3 linked regions of the Drosophila melanogaster genome follow. The gene in region 2 interacts genetically with the main gene of each other region. Each region holds a gene or a part of one and is shown on either strand. Other genes may lie near its edges.

The links.
Region 1: of Rho1 (region 2) and RhoGEF64C, changing one suppresses a phenotype caused by changing the other (phenotypic suppression), as found in Drosophila melanogaster (2 studies listed by BioGRID).
Region 3: of Rho1 (region 2) and fz, changing one suppresses a phenotype caused by changing the other (phenotypic suppression), as found in Drosophila melanogaster (3 studies listed by BioGRID).

The regions. Positions count from the first base shown.
Region 1 is NT_037436.4:4,689,922-4,697,402, reverse strand, and holds the start of RhoGEF64C (Rho guanine nucleotide exchange factor at 64C), read right to left. Parts: upstream 4,621-7,481; 5' UTR 3,998-4,620; intron 3,199-3,997; exon of another isoform or gene 3,081-3,198; coding exon of another isoform or gene 2,664-3,080; exon of another isoform or gene 2,558-2,663; intron 1-2,557. Other genes in the region: CG15876 (uncharacterized protein), read left to right, coding at 2,664-3,080; CG18418 (uncharacterized protein), read left to right, coding at 7,414-7,481.
Region 2 is NT_033778.4:16,099,331-16,108,916, forward strand, and holds Rho1 (Rho1), read left to right. Parts: upstream 1-3,356; 5' UTR 3,357-3,562; exon of another isoform or gene 3,563-3,619; intron 3,620-3,766; exon of another isoform or gene 3,767-3,978; intron 3,979-4,135; exon of another isoform or gene 4,136-4,280; 5' UTR 4,281-4,288; coding exon 4,289-4,444; intron 4,445-5,702; coding exon 5,703-5,852; intron 5,853-6,386; coding exon 6,387-6,467; intron 6,468-6,529; coding exon 6,530-6,721; 3' UTR 6,722-7,899; downstream 7,900-9,586. Other genes in the region: CG8414 (uncharacterized protein), read right to left, coding at 40-305, 364-2,451, 2,505-2,720, 2,780-3,197; Ric (Ras-related protein interacting with calmodulin), read right to left, coding at 9,427-9,586. UniProt on the Drosophila melanogaster protein: Has a role in regulating actin cytoskeletal organization: required during early development for proper execution of morphogenetic movements of individual cells and groups of cells important for the formation of the embryonic body plan.
Region 3 is NT_037436.4:14,271,470-14,278,962, reverse strand, and holds the start of fz (frizzled), read right to left. Parts: upstream 4,621-7,493; 5' UTR 3,909-4,620; coding exon 3,237-3,908; intron 1-3,236. UniProt on the Drosophila melanogaster protein: Receptor for Wnt proteins.

The DNA.
Region 1 (7,481 bases), on a different chromosome or scaffold from region 2:
GTTGACCAGACATTATTACACATTATGCCAGGGAAAGGGTAGGTAAAGGTGATTCCAGGATTAAATAAATGAAATACTGCAAAGCAACTCGCATGAACTTGTCCAAAACATTCAACAGAATATTCTGGAACAGGATTTAGAGGAAGTGGCTTAAGGATCTACCAGAGAGGGTTAACCCAAATAGTATGCCTATCTTACGACACGAATAGTATAAGTATAACTTCTCATATTTTAAATCTATGCATGTATAGTTATTTAATAATTGGTACAAATATGTGTTAACAAGATGCTTAAGGTAATTTATTATAACAAAGAATGTTCTGTGAGCTTTGTAATAGCGCTTCCCATCGCTTTTCCCATGCATTCCGACAAATTCCTAGTATAACTCCCAAGAAGTTGTGTTTCGCTGTTTGTTCGTTGCATTTTACCCAAAGTAGACCTTTCACCGGCCACCGTTCCACGGAATTCTTGGGGAACCTCAATGAACCGCCAGCGTAGAAGCTCTGAGCACTAAAAACCATTTCCACGTAAGACAGCAAACAGAATTTTCTGACTCAGCACCTGAGTGACATCAACGTAAAGTACGTCAATTTACACATGTGTCGTAGAGGAAGGAGCGTATGTAAATGGAAATCATTAGCATAACTGCAGTTCCCGAAAGACCAGGGAGTTTTTGCAACAGACTTAACTACTTCCAGGTAATTCATAACTAAAGTGGATGCTCGGGTCGAGTGTGCCTTTGGGTCAGGAGATGGCATAATCCTTTTATAATTGCACTTAGTAGCTGAAATGTAGCGAAAACAAAAGGATTTCGAAACCGGATTAAGAACGTTGGGAAAGACCACGCGCCGGATTAAGCAAATGTGCAGCATCAGTGTTTTATGACCCCTCAAGGCAGCGGCAACTCGGCCTTATCCTCCCCCTGCTCATTTTATGATCGTAAGGTAGGCTATGCAGGTAGGGACAGGTACATTGGTGGGCTAAGGTCATAACGGTGGCCCAGGGGCTGACTAAAAAGGCCATCGAAGCGTTGCTGACCTGACTAGCAGACATTATGAGCAACTGCTTTTGACAAGTCGCCGACAGCTTCCAATTCAACGCGCTCAATGAACTTGCAATCGACTTGGATTTGGTTTTGGATTCGATCTGATGGTGGGGCACCAAGTCGGTGCGTGTCGAGGCATTTATTCCATCGTATATTAAACCAGACGAGACAATCATAATGATGGCTACATCTCGCCATCATCATCATTGGCGCATCGCAGCTCGCGGCCCTTGCATTTAGCACCCAAATGGGCATTGAATCATCATTTATTTACTCACCAAAGAATTATCATAAAATACCAAGCAACTTTCACTGGTCATTGTTATAGCTATTATAGCCAGCATTATTATTATTTCGGCCTTAATGCAGGCCAATAAATTGTCTTAAGAAGAATTCGTTCGATAAGCCACAAGACAATGCTAAAGGGAATTTTCACTTTCCTTCGCTCGTAATTAAGTTGAAATTAACTTGATTGGGAGCGTTTTAAAAGCGGGGGCCGCGTGTCAATTACGTTAAGTGAAATTACAATTACATGAAAAGCATTTTTAAAACCATCTAACCAGCCCACAGTAAATCGCTTTTATGACCAAGGGGGTTAAGACAAGGTCGCAGACATTCGTTCATAAATAAATATTTAACACGCAGTCCTTCACAAGTGGGTTGGTTGTCGGGCACAAAAAAAAAACAGGAGTAAGAGTAGACGAGTGCCACTTTGGGATTATATTTATCACTTCATGGCAACTCATTAAATATAAATGATTTTCATTTGCCGAGAGTTGAGAGGGAATTTATTTAGTTGCAGTGGGATTGGACTTAAAAGGCAAACTTTCGTACAATTTGAGCGTAATCCTTAAGCAATAAAAACAAGCATGTGACTTCAGAAAAGTTATTACATTTCATAGAGTAAATTAATTTTTTACAATTTATTATTCGTAAATGAATTAAAAAATCAAAATGATATATTTCATTTAATTGTTAATGAAACAACATATGAAAATATCTTTAAACTTCATAACCACTTTAACATAAATATTTTAATTTTAAATATTTTTGTGGGTTTTTACTTAAATTTCATTCAGCTGCATTTCTGCTACCTTAAATTTTATTTATTTCATTGATAACTTTTCCACCAGTTATCTAATCTAAGCTTAAAACGATTTGAACGCAATCCTCAGACACTTAGTCACCGTTTTAATCTTTTCCTTATCCCCATATTTATTCAGCGCCAGCTCAACTGAAATATCTTAAAGCAAAAGGTCAAGCCATAAACCATTTCCACCCCAGCAAATGCCGCGCAAGGTGAGCACTACCCACATGTGTGCAAGGAAGATGTACAGTATCTTTGGCCTGAGATGTCAACTTGGCAAGGGATCAAAAAAGGGAGGAAGGATCTCTGGTTTTACCGGAGCACTTCAGGTAATTACGCGACTCGTACAAGTCAGCAGGTCAGTCGGCGGGTCAACAGGTAGCTAAGCGCCCCAGATATAAATAATCCTGGTAAACCACGTAGGGACATCATTCACAGCTCAAGCTGCCAAGCAGTCACAGCTTGTCCTGTCGCAGCCAGCATTTTGAAGTCTATACAAAAAAAAACAACAAAGGAGCTATTCTATCTGAAATGGAAGCCCAACGTAACAACGCCAACCACCGACGCGGAGCTCGTCCGAGCGTGGGCTATCTACTTTTTCAGTACCAGAGCGAGCTGACCCGCCGTCATGCGGAACCCACGCGGCTGTCCCGCACCAAGATTCACATAATCGATGGACTGGTGTCCCGCACCATCCGCCACATGAAGCACTGCAGCATGGAGGATCTGAGGGCCTGCAAGAGGGAGCTCGTCTACAAGGAGCAGCTGCGCGATCAGCTCAAGAACATGCGACGCAAACGCTCCTCCTCCGTCAACAAAGTCGATGCTAGTGCCAACACATCCGCCCCCGTTGTGAGTGTCAAGGCGCCATGCACTCCACCGAAACCTCGATCCTCCACAGGAGAGTTCTCCAAGATGGACATCTTCGGACCGGAGATCTTCGTTTAAGTTTAACTTAATCTATTGCAATTTTAAATTTACTAGTTTCCTTAATTGTTGACGATTAAAAATCATTGAACATGAAGATTTCTTAAGAAAATTATTCAATAAATAAATATATAAAAGCAAAATGCCAAATGTTTTATTATTTACTTAATATGTTTTCCAATGGCTATTAACAATGCATTTAAATATGTAAATTGCTAAATTTGAACTAAGCCCGACGAATTCACTATTAAAAGGCAATAATCTGCGAAAATTCGAAAAAAAAAACCAAAATTACAACAACAAATGTGGCAATTACACAAAAATGTCAATTGTCCGCGGATTTGTTGTAGGAGTGGAAATTCCTGTTCTGTAAGCCTGTTTTTGGCTCTGTTTTTGCTAGCTAGCCAGGGCTAAAATGTGTGCCGCAAAATGCCAGGCCCGAACTCTGGGGCTCAAGAGTCAAGAGTTCCCACGGAGCGAGGCAGCATCGATCCATTGAAAATTGGCCACCACTCACCGATCTGTGATAGATGCGTCCGACCGAGAGAGCCAAGAAAAACAGAAAACCAGGCAGCAGACGGGCCAAGAATGCGGTTTAAAGTTCAATCGTGCAGCAAGTGTTATTTAGGGGTTCGCAGTGAGGCAGGAATATCGATCTATTCGGCGGTGAAAAACGTGAGATGCGATGATCTAACCGAAGCTTTCTTAGCCAGCCAAAACAGAAGCAGAAGTTATGAACCTGCGACCGAAGACAACTGATATGCAAATCGTCAGCGGGAGAAATGTATACTAATGAATATATTAACCAAATCAAGTTCTAAGCAGTTCAGATGTTTTCACAATTTACCTCATTAGCTTTATGCTCATTGGGGGGGATAATATCTATAGTTTGTTGGCATTATATTATTTTCTCGTTTATTAGAATGCATTTGCCTTACCTTTTTGGGTTTCTTCGGGGCCCAAATTAAACGTTGAAATATTCCACTTGCTGTACAAATTTGTTGCTTTCTATTTGCATATCGCTGGGTACAATAAATTATGAGCACAATGTTAACAGGCGAACAAATAGAAGAAGAACGTATACACCGAGTGACGTTTTTCCTTCTATATAGCGAGCACTCTCTTCTTTCTTTCTTATTTATTATATTTTCTACTTTTCGGCAAGCACATTCGAGTGAAATGCAGCTGCGACGGCTGCTCTGGTTGTAACTGTAGTTTAGACACAAACACGTTTTCTTGCGGCCAGCCCAGTAATTACGGCAAAGGCTATTTTAAGGCCTCAACCAAAAATAACGAAAGCCGATCCAAAAGCGAAGAAACCGAGAAATGCAATCGCCGAGCAAATGCAACGCGGCGAAATGGAACGAAAAAAGCGAGTTAAAAGCTAAAAAGCCAAAATGCAAATGGTAACACGCACACCGCGCACTAACACCTGCACAAACACACACAAAACGTTCGTTCTTCGGCGAAGAAGAATCGTGTTTATATATCACCGTTGGATTGCATATATCCAACAGATCGCGTCGCGTTTCGAGCTGCACGACGGTTAACTGACGAATGACCAAAAGTTTCAGCTGCCGGACAGCTTGGAGTTCGAAAAGTCCGCCGCTCTGAGTTCGAAAAGCAAAAACGAAGCAGATCGCGCGCGCTCTCTCTCTCTCTCTCTATTTTCATCTCCGATGATCGCAGTTCGTTGCCTGAGTCTTTCGACTCTGGCCGTTGTTTTTTTTTATTTGTGCTTAGAATCTTTAGTCTGTTGTTGCCGTTGATTTATTGTCCAAAAATAACTGTTTTTTCATTGTGCATTGAACTTATGAGGAAACGAGAGAGTAAGAAAAGCACAAAATTATTTTATTATCGATTTTTTGATGACACACTTCCCCGAAAGATTTGGGTTTTCGGATGTTCTTTCTGTTATTTAGATCTGACAGATCTTTTGATCTCTGCTCTACGATTCGGCTTTAACTTTCGCTACTCGACGCTCTCGTTTGCTCAAAGACTTTTACTCTCTAGCCCAGCGCAATTACGATTGCAGCTCTCACTGCTCTCACTCGAAGTTTTGTTTTCGGACTTAGCTCTGAATTCGCTCTGTTTACTCCAGAAATTACCACCTACTGCGGTCTCGCTCACTCGCAGGGCGGCTTAGAGACGCCTCAGCTTTTTTTGGTCTATCCAACTTCGAATGACTTCTTAACGGTTCGGTACTTAATGCCTCGCTTTTTTTTACACTGATAGAATATTTTAACGTGAGCCTAAGTGATAATTAAGGCAATCATTTTTAATACATAAAGATTAAGAAAACTGTATAATTTCTAATTTATATAATAAACAAAATAATAATAAACATATTTCACAAAATCACAAATACATTGTTGTTTGTTTTTTCGTATATTGGAAAAGGCTGTAAATCAATATGCACAGATAATAAAATGTACTTATTCATCAACCAGCTCCCAATAATTTTTTATGTCCGAGAACTTTATGGCTAAGTTATCCATTTTTTTCAGTGTGCTAGTTAGTTTTTTGTCATTACTGGGCTCTCACACAGGGCGCTGGAACTGCAGCTGTTATTGTCATTTTCCTTTTAGCAACAGCTTCACCTCAACTTAGTTTGGTTCAGCTCGCTTCGCTTGAGCGTAAATTTCTGAGGTTTCCAGGCTATTCTTTTGGATACCATAATGCTGCCGCTCCTCCGCACCTTCTCCTTGGGCCATTATCAGCATTGTCATCGTTGTCGCTGTGTCGTTTGCTTTTTGCGATTTTTCTTTCAGCTTTTCACAGTTTTTCCTGCCCCATGCCTTCCACGCTTGTAGGGCTGCTCTGCTGCTGGATCTGCCATATATAGCTATATATGTCTATATATATATATTTACCACAACTGAAACCGCAGCAGTTGGCCGCCGATATGATCTGATTTATTGTAGTTTCCCGACTTCTTGTTGTTGCCGTCGTCTGTTAAAATATTTATTTACAATTTTCACAATTGGCATTTCAGTTCAGCGAGCTTGTCTCTGATTGTTTGATTGCATTGTGCCATTGTTATTGTTGCTGTTGCATTTGCTGCAGACTGTTGCCCCACTTTTACTTATGCACATAAATAATTAGAGTATTTATGTTGTAAACTGCTTGATAACAACATTTGCATCGTTAGCCAAGTTAGCACAAGTACGCCTCAAGTTTTAGGGAATTCTGAGTATGTTTATCTTAATTTGCCAAATGTTCCTCGATAACACTATTGATATTCGAGTACTAAGAGTGATTGCAACAATCAAAGCTTCGTGTTGTTTTTGATGTGAAGAGAAATTATTTGTTCTCTGAAAAATGTAACTTGGTTGTATAAGCAAATACTAATACTATAAAAATTAAAAAAGCTGTAAACAATAAATTCAAAATTGCGATGCTTATTTGAGGACAATTTTGTTTGCGTACTTATGGTCTATTGTATTTTATAACAAGGTATCACTGTAACAACGTTAATTAAGACACTAAGGCGCCATTCGGGCTTTTTACGAACTGGCAAATAAGAAGTTTCGCTGCATACTTTTCGGCGGGTAAATGTGATGTAATTGCGTTATCGCATGCGATTTCCCCTTTTGCTTGGTTAGAAAATCGACAGCAATCGCTTCTCTGTTTTTCCCAGCAATATTTTGTTGGTCTTTGCCGCCGCATGAGCTCCTAATTAGCCCGCAATGAGTTGTCGATACGCCAGTTGCGAGTACATGAAATTCGGTTTGGTTTTTGCCCTACCCTGACATAACAATTTCGGCTTGTCTAATTGGGAGGGCCTCGTCTGCACCTCCTGTAAAGTGTTCTTTCGGTTTGAGTTGCTCTCTAATTGCATTTCCAACGATGCCTAACCATTTTGTGTACTCTCATCAATGCGGGAAAAGGGTGACAAGCGAGGAGGCGAAGTTAAAGGGTTGAATTGCCAACGAGACAGATAATAAGCCGCTTGCCAGGGTCTCGTTAATTTGTGGGTGGCCCAAAACTGGCACAATTATCTGGCATGTGAGGAAAATTATAGAGGTGCGTTAATTGGCCAAAGGTGTTGGCCTGTTAACTGCCACAATTAAAATCAATGCCACGACGACCCAAATCCGCAAGGCAACGCGCAGTTGTGAACATTTCCATGGACTGGATCTCTCCTTTGGTTGAAAGAACTATGGTCAAGTGGAGGACCTCTAAGAATTATCTTTTGGGAAAAAGTCTTGCTTGTTGTGGAAGGCTTTGTTGTGGATGTCAACTCCATAAAAACCCCCACATACGAATTTGGCTCGTTTCCAACCATACACTCTCAATTCACATCTCTTTTTCCCAAACATACTTATTATATCTTCCAATTGTCCTGTTCCACATGGCGCTGGTTTACGGGGTTGAAAAGAAGACGGTACCCACCCACATGAAATTCGTGATGGGCGGAAC
Region 2 (9,586 bases):
CAATGTTATCCGATTGCGATTGCTACAGTAAGCTCAGTTTTAGTTTCGTTGATTCGCTGGTACTCCCAGAAAGGCTGGCGCTCGATGGTAGATCTGCTGAATACTCTTCGAAGATTTCGAATCGTCAAGGATGAACACGAAGGGCACACTGCTGGACACACCTTGGCCCTGATCCCGAAGGAAGCCCTGCGGCAGGGACTGTTCCCCGCCGAGGATAAGACAATCCACCAGGGACATCTTTTGTAGCGGCATTGCTGGCACCAGGTATAACTCCTTGCGCTCGTAGTCGATGGCGCGAACCACACCTAAAAGAATTTTGGAATTCAATTAATAAGCCACAAAAGAACGTGAATGTGTACAAACCTATTCCCAAACATTGGGGCAGACCTGCTCCGTGATGGCACAGATATACTACATTAGCCTCCATGCCTCGAATCAGTTCTTCGCGCGAGTAATTCTTGCTGGTGGGATGCAGGATTTTCAGGGATTCCAAAGACACTCCCAACGGCTGGCAGTCTGTAAGAGATTTGGCATTTCCAGTCAGGCAGGAACTGAGACGTGCCAGAAGATTGGAGTACCGCATGTCCTTGGCGCTGAGACTCCAAGTTCCTTTTTCCCTTGCAGGCACTGCACTTATCAGCTTATGGAGTGTGTATTTTGGTATTTCATTGATCTTGAACTCCTCCGCAGAGTATATAATTGGTTTTATCTGCGACAGACTGTTCCGGTCGAGGACAGAATCAAAGTTATTGATTGGAATGGGACTGGCAATCTGTACAAGATCCGTGGGACGAATGCGATCCACCAGCAGAGCCATCAATTCGATACCAAATCCCTTATTATAGCCCATCGTATTTATCAGCCAAGGAATATTTGAATACTTGGCATCGTTCTGAATGTTTTGGACTAGCTGAATAACTGCTCGGGCATACTGCTCTGCGCACAAGACAATGTTGGTGTGGCCCACGACAATGGCATGTTCCGGCTGCCTGTTGTACAGGAAGCCCGGTCCCAGAAGGGGCTCATCAATTACGGTGCAAGAAATAGTCTGGGGTACAAATATTTCCGGCTGACCAATGTCCAGGTCGATGAGCAGCATGGATGGGAATTGACCCAGATTTCGGTTGATGAGGTAACGCAATAAACTAGACTTTCCGACGCCCTTACCACCGGCTACGATTATTCGGCTCGTTGCATGCATTTGTAACTTATTCCAAACCTGCGGAACTTGGAGAGTGCGACTTTGATCGCTCGATTGAATCAGACAGTGCAACAGGGTTTCACTTTGGCCAAATGGTCGATTGGAAGAATTGACAAGTGGGAATACATTTTGCGCCATGTGCTTGCCAAAGGTATCGACGAGCTGCTGGGCACTTGTGTTTCGGTGGAGCAGTACTATTGCATTCGTCTGACGCTGAAAGCTGGTCTTAATCCTGTCTAGCTGGGCGCGTGTAAAGTTCTTGTTGAGTTCTTCCCAATTTACCTCATCTTTTACAGGTTTTTTAGTCTTGGTTGGCGAAATAGATACCCAATTAAGGCCTTTAGGAGAATAAATTGTGATTGCTTCCTGCCTGCGTGCTCTGTAACCATTTACTGATATTTGACCACAGAGTAGAGTCAACACTAGTGTGCCATAAACTTCGAGGTCCTCCTTAATCACGGCCAGCACATGATTGCTCTTCAGACTGTTCTCAAAGACGCTAAGCTCAGTGGGATTCGCTTGCGGATTTCTGTAAAACGGGACATCGCTTGGTTGGAGATAATTTTCCTTTTCTGGTGTTACAACTTCAGGCAGTGATACCTCATCATTCTCTTCGGTTTCAATTGCAACTTCAGACTCCTTCTTTGGGGGCACACTGCTTAAGTTTTTTACAACAATATCCATAACACTTGACTGTTCAATACGTTCTTGCTTTTTTTCCACAGGCGGATCGTCGAAGATTTCCTCTATAATAAGCGGCTCTCTTTGCATACCCACAGGTGGATGATCGAAGAATCCCTCAATGTCAGGTGGCTCATAAGTTGAATCGAGGTCGTCGGTGTCGAAGATATCGCTTCCGAATTCTTCACTATCGCTGTCACTAACATCCTCCATATCGCTATATTCACTGTAGAAATCTCCATCACTATCATAGTCTGCGCTGCTTGTGTCTTCACTGTCAGACTCTTCGCTGTCAAATTCCTCCGATCCAAAGTCATCGCTATCTTCTGGCTCATAATCAATGTCATCTTCGTCGCTGTCAGTTTCTTCCTGTGCACTTTTAAATACCTTAATCTTTCGAACTGTTCCACTGCCATCCCCATCCAACAAAAGAGGTTGGTATTCATCGTGTTCAAAAGGAGGAAGAATATCTGATAACTTGTATTCGGGGCCTTTGCATTTGACCTTAAAAATCTTTGGATCTTTAAGAAATGTCTCGTCTATTTCTTCAACTACATCGTTTTCAGAGTCTAAAAAACATAGTTTAAGTTAAGAAACAAGAGTAATATTAAAAATTCCTTACCACTTTCAATTAAATAATCGTCTTCTTCACTCCAATCATCCAATGAATTCATTTCAATGTCACTTGTTTCCGCTGCAGTACCAATTATCTCTACTACTTTACCATTTTGTACGACCTTCATTGAGCTCTTGTTTCCATTTACCTTATGTTTCTTAGATAAACTTGCTTCTTTTGTTTTATTTGGCGTCTTGACTTTGGTTTTCTTAGGAGCTAATTCTGAAAAATACATATATATTAAAATAAAATGAGGTTGTAATTCTGGATCTAATGCATACCATTTATACTATGAACCTTGGGAATAGGAAGCTTAGCACTTTTGCTTGTTGCTGCAGATTTTTTAGCTGCAACATTTGAGGATTTATTTACAGGATTCTTTTTGGGTAGGGTATTATCCTTTTTAAGCCTCTTCTGGGATGGTGAACTGTCTGGATTCGACACATTATTGGAAAGAGGTCTCTTTGCGCCGGCTGTCTTATTTTTCTTGGATTTTTTGGGCGACTCCATCTGGGCTTTTTGAATCATTGTTTCCGAAATCTTTGCAGGATTGCTGGCCACCTTTGAAATAACTTTTTTCTTTGGAACAGCAGGTGGGTGTTGTGGTTTTTCCGGCTTACGGCGACCAGAGGCTAGTTCTCGCTGTTCGGTGAGCTGGAAGCTCAGTTTCATTTCTTTCAGAATATGTTCGTCAAGCATTCCTTTTCAGTTTTTTGCTGAACTACCAATACTTCCCGGGCCATGCGACCGCAAATTTAAGAAGAAGAGCAAGAATAACATATGTGCGGTGTTACCAGTCGTGGTCGGTCATGGGAATAACGCGCACAGAGTTGCCATCGATGAGAACTATCGATTGGGTTAATAACAGCCCTGCGCTCGAAGGCGTTGGTTGGTCATCGAGCGTTCATCCCGCTACCGAGAAATGAAACGGATGAACATTGTTCATCGTCATTTTGCATGGGAAAAAATCGTCGAGTTCAATTCGAATTTTTGTAATTGCATTAACTTTTATACGATATAGCTAAACGGTAGACGCATAAGAATCAACAAATTTGTGCCATTTTGTAAGCAAATTAAGTGTCGAATTCGTGCTGAGTGTTGTGAAATCACCAATATAAATTGTAAGTGGCCGAAAGAGCAGAAGTGAAAAAATTCCACACAGCACGCACACAAATGCACGCACGCCCAGCCAGAGGCGAACAGACACACGCACACACACACACACACAGCCATACCGAGAGTGGATGATGAGATGTTTTTGGAATAAAGTGTGAGCGGGACGGGCGCGGAGAGAGGAGTTTCCTGGAGTGTTGGAGAGAGGGGTGGAGAAGCGGGCGGCCCTATGACGCGACCAAAATGAAAATGCGAATGCGAAAAACCGTAAAGAAAAACGGGAAAAACTCGGCTAACGGACAATGGACAATGGCCAGATAAGAAAGAACCCCACACTTTATACTATTAGATCGCCGTCCAGCCGCAAGTATGACTAAGTGTGTGCGCGAGCGGGAGAGGGCTATCGGAAAAGAGAGCGAGCGCGCGAGTGTATTTGTGCTGTGTGTCCACCAGTGTGCGTGTGACTGTATGCGAGTGTGTGTGTGGCTTTTTCATTTTGATAATTTTTTGAACAGGCGCTCGTTCAGTTTTCGCGAATATATAAAACAGAACGGCTGACTCGGATTCGGAATCGAAAATTGTATTCGGATTCAGAATCGGACTCGGAATCCTCGGGCATCCGCTGCACTTGCATTGCATCTAGCTACAGTTTGATTTTGCCTTTTGCAGAACTTCCAATGACGACGATTCGCAAGAAATTGGTAATTGTCGGCGACGGTGCCTGCGGTAAAACTTGCCTTCTGATTGTCTTCAGCAAAGATCAGTTCCCCGAGGTCTATGTGCCCACCGTATTCGAGAATTATGTGGCCGACATCGAGGTGGATGGCAAACAGGTAAGCCCCTTTTCCCGGACAGGCCCGCCCCTCCCCTAACTACCCGTCCCGTCCACCACTCTGAATGCCACCCCCAACCGGTGGCTGACCCCCCTCCCCTGATAACCCCACCCTGCCATCCAAGTGATAATCGTCTGATCTCGTTTTATAATTTGTGTGCATTCTCAATTCATTCCGTTTTTCAAGTGCGCGTATCCTCCTTACACTTTCCACCCGCCTCTGTGTGTGTGTGTGTGTGTGTGTGTGTGTGTGCGGGTGTGTGTTCCCATGGGTGTGTGTTTATTGTTCTCTTGTTTGTGCCACCCACAACTTCACCCACACCTTGGTCGTTGTATTTCCTTTTCTTCGCCTGTAAAATGAAATGAGTCAATATCGCCTCATGCCCACAGACGCATCCATAAATAAAGGTGTCTGGAAAAGCAAAAGAAAAATTAAGATCATTTTTGGTTAAGTGGAGTGCAAATTTGGATTTTTCCGAAGAATTCAAAGTTTTGATAGCAGTGATTAAGTCACACTTGGGCACATTTCCCCACACTTACACGCACACATGCTCAACAGAGAGTTGGCAGCACACACACACACACAGAAGTAGTGCTGCTCCCTTCCTTCCGCTCGTTTTCTTTTCTTTTTATTTTGTATTTGTCTTATACAAGTCCGTTGCGCACATACAGTTTAATGCGTTGCGCCGCCCCCCGCTCTTTCTGCTGCTCTCTCGGGCGCTCTCACTCTTACTCTTTCTCCCTGCCTACCTGTACTCTCTTCTAAGGGGGGGGAGCGCTCTCCCGCTCCACCGCGCACTCCCTTACTCTATGGAATGTAATGTGCGTTTTCCATTGGGGCATCAAGTCATGATTTGGCTATATGTTCGTTCATATATTCCATTTGGGATCTACAGTATTTTCAGGCGCTTTTTTTCGAAATAAACACTGTGTGTTTGCCTTTGCTGCGCAATATGGCGGGTTTTCAATTTTCAGTTTCTGTTTGTGTTTCTGTTTGGATAGCGTTTACATACACACAAGTTCACGTCATTCCACTTCGCCTCGCTTCGATGTGATTAATTCGTTTGGCATTTCCGTCAAGTTCCTTGCTCACACTCTCGTACTCGCACTCATGCTATCTTCAACTCGAACTTGTCCCATTCTCCTCCGAGCCCGCATCGCACCGTCCCGTGCCACAAAAAGCCCCATCTATCTATAACCCTGACGACACCGCAACTGCAAGCGTAACTCTCAATCATAATCCGCATCCGATTCTCCAGGTGGAGCTGGCCTTGTGGGATACGGCCGGGCAGGAGGACTACGACAGACTACGACCGCTGAGCTATCCCGACACTGACGTCATACTGATGTGTTTCTCAGTGGATTCACCCGATTCGCTAGAAAATATTCCTGAAAAATGGACCCCAGAGGTGAGTTTAACTGGAATTACAGAACAGTTTCTATCAGACGATCGTAAACAAGTATGGTACTATATATATATATACTATACGGAACTAACAAGTCTAGACAAAATATGTTTTTAATTTTTATGTAATGATGCAAATTTGGAAAAAGTTGAACTTTTAACTCCAGTTAAAATATATTAAACATTTTTGAAGTTATCGAATGCATTTGCTTATGATATGGAATCTTTAAGACTATGCATCTCTGTGTTCTTGTTTATGTCATTGAAGCTATCTGAAAGACTGGTTTTGGTTTAGAACGAGGAAAGTTTAATAGAATTGTTGGTTATTTCTAGTTTAATCACTAAAAATAGTCTGCTATGAGCCAATTTGCTTTGACTTTCTGAATCATTTCCTTACTTCTCAGCCTTTAATTTATAATGATAGATATAGATAAGAAGAAAGTAAGTGGTTCCCAATTACGAATTACTTGTTTTTGCAGTTCGACTATATGGAATCTGATATCAAAATATGATACTAATCCTTACTACATTATTGCAGGTCAAACACTTTTGTCCAAATGTTCCAATCATTTTGGTAGGAAATAAGAAAGATTTGCGAAATGATCCCAACACAATTCGGGTACGTATACGCGCTGTTGAACGAGGTGAACTTGCAGCACTAAACTAAACTTGATTTTACAGGATCTAGCAAAAATGAAGCAGGAGCCGGTGAAGCCGCAGGAGGGTCGCGCCATGGCCGAGAAGATTAATGCCTTTGCCTATTTGGAGTGTTCGGCTAAGTCCAAGGAGGGTGTGCGAGATGTTTTCGAGACGGCAACTAGGGCCGCGCTGCAAGTCAAAAAGAGGAAGAAGACCAGATGCCTTTTGCTCTAAAAGAGCAAATCAACAACATGAAAATCTTTACCACACACACACACAGCAAAAACAACAGCATAAACACACACAAACACACATACACACCTTTTACAACAATAACGAGCTGAACAACAACCACTCAACAACAACATCAAGAACAACCAGAACATCGGATACACGAAGCTGCACCACCACCCAACCAGCAACAAACATGAGCAGAAAACAGAGAGCTTGAGCTAGAAGATCAGCGGAGGAGGGATGCAGCGAGATATAAGGGAAGGCAGCACCAAGTAGAATGTCAAATGCGGATTTGATTTTATATACAGTCTAGTGTAGTTATAAACCGAAGTAAACAACAGTAATAACTCTGGCATTATTATTTGTAAAAACTAGGGCAGAGCAGATCAATCAGTCAGCCACTGCAAGCAAAAAATATATATCGATATATGTAAACATATTCAAGTTGTGTCCGTTTCTGTCCACCCCCTCCTCCTAGATGTATGTTATTATTTCGTTAACTGTGTTGTCAAGTGTAGAGTCGGCTGTGGCTGGACGAGATTGTGTCGTATGCGAGGGTGAGTGAGTCAGGTGAATCAGTGGAATTAGGAACAGAATCGGAAACGGAATCGGATGTTGGATCCCGGGGTCCAAGGAGGTCGTAGGCGTCAAGATGAGAGTTATGTTCCCATTAAATCTATCAAATACAGAGAGACCAGGCCGCCAATAGGAGTTGGAAGCGAAACTACATTACAAGAGCCGAACTAAACACAAAACAAAACAAAACAAAAACGATAAATGTTTATTTAACTAAACGTAAGCCACAAATGAGATGCATTCAGTTTTCGCGTGGGAGATGCTAAGAGGGAAAATTTTTGATGAAGTGAAAAACTATTTCGAGCGCATTAAGCGAGTTTTTAATATTTGTACTTTGCATTAAAACGAGTGGAAAACATAAAAAAAAAAAGATACTACAAAACAACCAAACAACTATATGAAGAGTATTTTATGATTTTATAAAATACGATTATACATATAATTATACTATACAGTACATATGTGTATGTCTCTTTTTTTGTATTTTGTACCGTCAATCGTGTAATTCTCACACAGAAGTTGAAAAACTCGAAGATGCATCAGATACAACCAAACTATATTATACTTATGAATAAACAGTACATTTGATCTACTCTTGGTTTAACTAACTGTTTTCTTATTTGGCCGGGCATCGAATTTTATTAGGCTAAGATAATGGATTTAAATCCGGGGAATACCCGCCCTTTAAAGTCAAAACACTTATCTTTAACGGGGTTAAAAAAATCTTTATTGAGGGTATTGTTTTTGTTTATTTTGTGCTTTTGTATTTAATTTTTTTTTTTACATTTAAAATGTACATAACATTATGAATCAAAATGTTTTGGTTTTTCATCGATTAGGTATTAGGTTTCACAATATTATTCCCGAACAGGTATGTCGTTTTCGAAACAACATGGACACGACACATTGCTTTGAACATCTAGTTCCCAAGCCTTTTCTCTTAAAACGTACTTTTTAATCGCTTAACTTTCGCGGCGAAAGCAATTCTATTATATTTCTACCCGCATTTGATTCGTTTTCGTGTTGGAGCTGTTGTTTTTCTTTTTTTCGTCAGTCGATCTGTTTGGTTCGAACGGTTGCAGGATTCGCAATAACAATTAATTATTAGTAATTATGGGTAGTCCATTCAACTGTTTTTTGGGATCATGTAACAAACAGAGTAATTAAAGCCGTGTTAGTATTTTGTTTCCGGTGATGCAGTTAACATTGATGAGAGGAACTCATGGTGATTGCTTAGAGAACGTGATGTGTGGTTTCTTGTGGTAAAAGTAATCAACAGATTTCGTTAAACTAATAATAAATAAACTTAGGCGTAACACGTGTGTCCTTAACAATATAAACAATAGACTTTTCTCAAACTTAAACAACAAATGCATCGGCTGTCGTGGACTTAAATTATCAATTTGGGCTTGGATCTGAAATGAACGCACATTCTCATTCATATTTCATAATTTGCAATGTTCCCGCGTTTTACATACTTCTTAGGTCGATCGATCGATTTATAATATTAGTATACATTAAATTCAACATTTATTCGATTAGTTAAATGTGTGGCTCGTGTAACGTATGTCATGTGCGTGTATTCTGGGTAAATACGTACATACATAAGTTTAAAAATCCTCCAATTCTCTGCCCTTCGCACCTGGCAATTGGCTTTTGGGTTAATCTCCTGGCTAGGATTCAGAGTTGTTCAGATTGTTAGTGGGGGAAGACTCGACCCCTCGATCTTGCTGAATTTAAATGCTTTTGAGCTTTAGCCAATTGCCACACTTGCTTAATCGCTCTCGTCTAGGAATCAACATTAGTAATATTTACTACATAAACATATGTACGTGCATTGTTAATATGTATCTTTTGGATCGGTGCTTAAACGTATTGATATACTCTATCGCTGATCTACTGCCTCGCTATCCTTTCCGGCCAACAACAAGTACTTTAAATAGTTTCCATAACAAATAATAAATAAACCACTGTGGCCATAACAATTAGTTATCTGCTCCTCGATCGGTTAATTTCTCTTTTGTATGTTGTATCTGATGGGTATGTGCTATATACAAAATATAGCAAACAAAAGTTACTTGGTTTTTGTGGTTAATATTGCACTCATTTCAAGGAATCCGCCTCCTGGTCTAGTTAAGGTTTCGTCTGCGCCGGAAAACCAATGCGAAAATGGATCGGATGCGCCACCAGCGACTTCGTCGCCCCGTGTGAATCTTTTCCGAATTGGAGTCCGTGCCCAGGGCCTTGTGCATTTCCTTGCGTCGAATCTCGCGGACCAACGTGTAGAAT
Region 3 (7,493 bases), on a different chromosome or scaffold from region 2:
AGGTTGGGTGGAAAACCCAATGAGAGATTATCCCACGGCTTAACGGTGAAATGTTGCTGATGAGCTGCTGGTAATGATGTCGATAACTGCCGGGAGTATAAAAGTGGCTGGGCAATAAAAACAAGTCGAGTAGTTTAGGGATTATTGGTATATTCCGTAAATGCTGTTTTTTATACACGTTTGTTTTGTATTTATTTTTATGTAAAACTGAGATAAGACTGCAAGCAAATATACTATGATCAACAAAAAAGTTATCGATTGATCCCTTCAGAAATCGTATTCTATAGAATTGTATTATAACAAATATTCTTATGTGACATACATATATGAGATGAAGTCTGTAGTGATCCTTTAGATTTTTGTTCATTCTGCCAATTGTTTTGAAATTACTGTTCAGCTCAACTGTTTGAGTGTCTATATTTTCCCAACGAAAAATCGTTGGTATTTGTGTTTATGTCTTCAATATCCTACTGAGCTTCCCATTTACTTCCGGCCATCATTATCCCTTTTCCGTGTCGAATTCCACCGAAACGTATACCATTAGATGACGTCAAAACCTTTTCAGAGCAAACAGATTACTGCGGGGCAATGTCCGATTGATGGCTACATGTGTAGACAACTGGGCAACCAGACGAACGCCACCCACCGCCCACCGCCCACTTTTATCCAGAATGCCCGTGCCCCGATTGCAAACACCGCCTAACCCATGGCGGCCGAAAATAAATTAATCAAAGAGCGCGAAAGGACAACAGTTTAGTTTGCGGAAAGGCGGGAAGGATTTCAGTTTGGTTGTTTAGGAAATCGTAAATCCATTAAAAGCCTCATTTAGAACGCTTTCGACGCATTTAGAGGGGGTGAAGTGAAAGAGAATCAGTCCGATTTGGGGATTATTTGTAGGCCCTAAATTGATTCATCCGGAGCGGAGACTCGCCCCCAACCAGGACTTTTAATTGTGAACGAATCCGTAATTGATTGTGCCCTCTTATGACTGCTGGCTTTCCACTCAGTTTCCTTTCAGATGGAAAACAGATTTTCCTACCCCGCACCGCAGCCTTTGCATAATGGATTCGGGGCAAGAAAAGGCCAAGAAAAAGGACTGTGAAATGCGGCAAAAGGGTTGAGTTGTGTCATGCCCTACGGGTTTTCGCCTATGATTATTTCAGCACAGACTGAGGGAATTTTCAACTAATTCCATTCGGCATTTCGCACTCTAATTCATCCGGCCGTGTTTTGCCCTTTGGTTTGGGTAATTGATTTGCGAAATTACATATTTTGTATGCCAGATTTTTGTTGGCACGAATTTCAACGAGAGTGACTGGTTAATTTAGTCAAAAAGGTCTGACTGACAAGCAAATCGGAAAATTTCAAAGAGGAAAATTGAAAAATTAGCCCAGATGAATGGAATTAATATTTAATATACTCTGCTGAATTTAGGAAACATGTTAAAAGTTGGCTTTGGGTTAAATCGTTCAAAGGTGTCGGGCAATAATGTTATTTTAGGAATTCGAGATGAAATAGCCAATCGACAATTGTGTTTTCACAGCTCGGTTTGAATAGAATAACTTTTAGTAATAGTCTTTTCTAATATCAATCAATATTTCTCTGGGTTAAAATATAGTTCTTTGTCTATTAATCATAAAGTTTATAATTTTGATTTCGACCAATTTCTTATCTGTACCTGTGGAGCCCTTATAAAACGCTTGTTAATACCACTAGTTTCTAACATGGCAATTATATGTTTATATTGTCGGATCATTATCTATCCAATAAGCATTAATTCACGCTCTCACACTGCGCCATTATCATTAGCAGACAAAGAGACCTATCTAGCTCATAAAGCACGGCAAACAGGGCCAAAACACACAGAGATACAGATACGGATTCATTTGCAGATACTCTTACAGACAGAATCGTGATGTGGGCCAAATGCAATCCAGGCAAACAAGCTGCTAAATTTCGCACGCAGCTCTCAAAAGGCATTTAAGCACGGGGTCTGGGGACTCCGGCTAAACCAAAGATGCTGACAGCCATGATGATATGGGGATGGAAAGAAGGCAGCAAGGCCAAGAGGAACTGATGACACACAGCCAAGGAAAAACGAGACCAATCAAGAAAAAGCGAGTGAGACGAAAGAAGAAAAAACACCGAGAAATCGCAATGGTAAAGTAGCTAAGAGATACACATGTATCCGCCAGATATCCAGACACTGAGGGAAGTGTGAATTATCCTGCCTCAAAGTATTTAATGCGCTTTACTTATGGCAGCCGGCAACAACAGAGTGACGGCTAAAAATAGCAAAAGATAAACACATTGGAAACACATAGACGATGATCATCACTCATCCAAAACCAACAGAAAATAAATCGTGGAAAAATCAGTCTGCTGAGGGGCTTAAGAACCCGAAAAAAAGCTGCTAAAGGAAAAGGGTGGAAAATTAATTAAAGAACGTGAAAATGCAACAGGCTGACCCTCAGTTCAAGTTATTAAACATTCTATGGTTCATGTTACATTTTTTTTTTACTTTTTTTGGGAATACTTTTAAGCAGGCATTACAAATTACACAACTCCAAAAAGAACTGGTTTACCTTTCCTCAACCGAAGCCAAAGAAAAAACGATCTACCTGCCGCTGTTAACCATCTTTTGTGAGCTGCGGGCAGGTAGAATGCGGGCTCGTCGCCCTTCTCTCCTTCTTCTCGTTATTCCTGGCCTGCCAAGGACCTCCTGCTGTTTTCCCTGGTGGTTGGAAATTGTTTTCTCGGCGCAACAGGATTTGCATTTTTCCCTACTTCTACGCTGCTCTACAAATTGAGTCTGGAGTTCAAATGAAGACATAAAAAAATCATTGACCTACATGGGACCAACCCAAATGTGGCATATTAAGTTCCAGAAATAAACGAAATACTCACTAAAAGGCTTGGGGTACTTAAAGCATACATTTAGTCAAGAAAGCGCTAAATACATTCGCTAAACAGATGTTAGTACCCAAAATTTATTTGTGCAACTTCGTTTTTAGTTTGGACATGGTTAAAAGTTTGTGCTCACCCGACGGATGATTATAGAACTTGTTTTTAACTTTTGTCATAATCATAACATGTTTAATCATAAAATTAAATGCATAAATAATAGAAAACTAATGTTTTAAAAGGTATACAGTATGCGCCTATAACCCCCTATTTTTATATGATGCTTATTTTTCGGCGCTTTTTAGTGAATTTATTTTCATTAAAGAACTTACCTTTCCGCCAACTTTTAGTTCGTAGCCCATTCCCAGAGGCGTTTTCAGTTGCACGGGGCACACGAATCCAATGTTTCGGTGCGGACTTTCTACGCCCGTCTGGTGTTTACGGGTAGTGACCTTAGCCACACTCCTTGTGGGCGTGGCCGCCGTGGAGGCCGATGATGTGGTATTCTCCGCCACGCACAAATCCTCGCCTCCATGGACGGGAAATTTGGAGCACTCCAGATTTTCCGGCCAGTTAAAGTTGTAGGTTTTCATTAACTTTTCACATACCCGCGCCGATTCGCACAGAGATCGACAAGGCGGAATGGGTCGCTCCAAAATTGTGCAGACCGGAACGTACAGGGAACAGAGGAACAACTGGAGGTCATCACTGCAGCCGATCTTCACGAGCGGAGCAAACTGATGGACCTCCAGACCCGCCTCCTCCTGCTTGGTATGGCCAATAAGATTTGGCATAATGGTCATGTTATATGGTATATTCTTGCAGATCGATATGGTGATGGGTTCACAGCGATTGTGATGTGGCAGTCCATCTAGTTCGGTCCCAGAACTGGCCATTAATCCCCCGCCGCTGCGATAATACGGACTCGCATCGAGGGGGCTCTGATCGTAGCGCTGGACCCCCTGTATCAGGGTGGGTAAAATAAACAGGATTTGACGCCACATTTTGGAATTTTTCGATATCGCTGTCAAATAACTTTTGGGGCTTTTTCTCGATCTCTTTAAACACTTTAAAACACACACATGTTGCTCATCTACTTGCACTCACTTATACACCATTGAATACTTATTTGATTTATTTTCCCTGTTTAAAAACTTCACTCCCACGAAACACTTAACACCTTTTAAATATTTGCCGGCGGCAAATATTTAGTTTGGCCTTATAAGCAAATAATAAATATTTCTCTCTATTCTCTTATTTGCGTTTGCTTTTGCTCTTTATTTTGTTTAGACTTTTTTTGTTATTTTCCGACTTCAATTTGGTTTAACCGTTTGAATTCGACTTTGCTATTTGTTGTTGGCAAAATATTATTGTGTCAAAATTTAATTTTTGGGGGTCTTTAGGACTTAGTAGCGTTGGCTTTTATCTGGCACAGTACCGGGCTTTACTTTTCTAGCAGCCACATTTTTATCTTGCTGTATGCACATACATAAGTACCGTTAGCTGTATATCATTTATGCCTCCCCCGCTTTTTGAATTTCCTTATTTCTTTCACTTTTTCGAAAACCGCGCAAAAAAATAACTGAACAAACACGGAGTCGAATTCAACTTTTTCGCACGGGACTTACGTTAAAAGACGAAAACGGAGCCGGAGTTCGAGTCGAAATCAATCCGCGAGCACATCCGCATGGTAGGGCATACGCTGACAAACTGAGGAACTGAAAACATGGGGCTCTTTCCAAGCCGCTCTCTCACCGTATCGTTCTCCTGCTCACACGCTGAATATGCGCTCTTTCGCTCGAATGGTGTGAGAGGAGGTTTTATTCAGCTATACGCTTTGTAGTATAGCACTGGGGGCGACCTTGAATTTGACACTCTCGGCGGGAGAGCCAGAGAGCCAAAGAGAGCGAAGTGAAAGACAGGGCTGTTATGCCTTTTGTTTGGATGCTGTCTCGCTCGCACTCTGTCTCCTCTCAACTTCTTGGCCTCCTGTTGATTAGCAGACAGGAAAAAGAAAGCATCAACAAACAACTAAATAAGAGACCATTTAATTAATTAGAATTCAAGATGATTATGCAATCGACAGGGCTAATAGGAAATTAGGGGCGGAAGCTGTGCCCAAATCTAGGTGTTGGGCCCGCTCAATGGAAATTTGAACATCGATATTCACTTTGTAAATACTTAAATATTTATAGATTCCAATTTAAATATTAATTAATTAACCATTTTTTCGATATAATAAATTATAACCAATCTTATGCTTATAAAATGAATAAAAGAAATAAGTGCTGCATTTAAAATGGCTCCAATATAAAAAGACTAGAATCATTTTGCCAGCAAAAAATCCTTGCTGAAATGGGATACATATCCGAAAACGAAATGAGTATACAACATTTATGTCCGAATGTCAAAAAGTTACAGTGCATGTCAGCTAAATATTTTTCAGTTTCTAAAATGTCATATTGCTTAGGTCACCGCACCTTCTTATCTTTTTATATCAATCCATCGATGCCCGTTACACTTCCCACTGTTCTTTGGTAATCTTCAGCTGTTGCAAGTGCCGTTAGAAGACATTTGCCCTCTACTGGAATATACCTATAATAATTGCTTTTCTCCAGCTTTCTTCCTCTATAGAAATACATATTTGCACGCGTTAATTTCCTTGATTTCTGCGACAATTTTTATCGTCGACCATTTCTCTGCGCACTTGCATTTACCATTTATCTTTATCTTTAGTTTTTGCTGTTGTTTGTTTACTTGCTCGCTTTTTTCCGGCAGTTAATTAAGTCATTAACTTGCGTTTAATCTGAGCTTTAGCATGAGTGAAGAGAACTTATCGCGGGAATTTGTCTAATGACCCCGTGGTGGATCGCCAAGGGAGGTGTGGGGGGTTAGGCATCTGCTGCCAGTCAATAAACTTGTTATATTGACAATAATGATGACATTAAAGGAGTCTTGGCAGTCTTTTGTCTTTGTCACCTGTAGAACCCTTTTCTCCGATCAGGCTTTCTCTGTCTCTGTCGCTCTCTACTTAACATATCTCTTTCAGCACATAACTGGCTCTCCCGCACTCTCTTTTGCGTTAAACAAGTGTTACCGGTTTAGCCGGCAAAGTTCATTTTATGCTTTGCTCTTTTTATCCGCTCTCTTCTTGGCTCCATCAACCCCAGTTCTCCCCCACCGCCACCTCCTCATCCTATTCTTCGCTTCTACACTTCGTCGGCTTGTTTAATAAAAAGCGCCAAAGTTGCGCCGCATAAAAAGGCTCTTTTTCTCGGTCTCCCCCTTGCAATCGCTAGATACACTTAACAAAAAATTAAAGTACAATTTTCAGATAAATAAGCAGTGCACTTTTAAAATCACTTATATACTATAATAATAAACAAACATATAATTTATAATTTCCGTAGAGGAGCTTGGAATATGTTAAAGGCTACTACTACTAACGATTTTAAGCTGTCTAAGCACATATCTTTCGAATTTCTTCGCTTTAAGATAAAATTTCCCATCAATTCATTATTTACATATATGATAATATTTATGAGTAGATTTTTACTACGATGTGTGGTTACATATCACAAATTTAAATTAAATATTGATATAAATTTTTTTCCAGTGCATGTATGTCTTGGCTTCTGGGTCTCCATTGTTGTTGTTCAGTCGGTTTCCGTTTGCCGCTTGTTGTTGGTATTGCTGCTGTTTTGCAGTTGCCGCTCATTTTATGTTTACAAGTGAACGAACTTTGACGTTTTGCTCTGTGCCTCTCTTTCTCTGTCTGTCTGTGCTCCTCTTCCGCTCCCACTCCTTTGTTGGAAAGTGATTCCGTTGTTGTTGTCATTCTGCCGTGTCTGTTTTTGGAATATGTAATTTAATGTAATTAAAATGGTATAAAGGGTAAAAATAACACCCCGAATGCAGATGAACTTCATTAGATAAGCGAAAGGAAAATTGAATTAGCAGCGACTTCTTTCTCACCTATTTTCATTCATGCTGTTTAGGGAATAATTGGTTTTAATGGCAGTTAATAAGGGTTTTAGGAAGCATGCTATTTATGGAAATTAGAACTTAGAACAAGCCTTTAATAAATTCTTTATTTCCTTTTTATTACTACTACTATAAACTTGGTAGTGCAAAATCGTTTTAACAAAAATTCTTATATATGTAAATCTTATGCTTTAAATCCAAACGATTAAAATGCAAATAAGTTATTAACAAAAATGAAACGTTTAAAAAACTTTTTTCTGAGTGCAGATATTTTTTTTTTTTTTTTTTTTTTTTTTTTTTTAACTTTGCTTTTATTTATTGAATCTTCTTGTATAAGAACTAACAATAAGTTTAAAAATCTTAACTATAACAAGTATTTTTTGAACAGTTGTATTATTTTTCCAACTGTTCTATGTTTAAACGGCCCTAATAATTTATTCGCTGGGTTGGTAGGTCCTTTCGCCGGAGACGGGAACGGCTGCTGAGCTGGATTAGACCTCGCGCTAGGTGGTTGGGGTGCGTGTGAAGCTTGCTATGGTATTTTTCCTTAAGTTCCGTGATTGCGTTGGTAACTGATGGGATATTTAAGTCTCTTTGGATGTTTT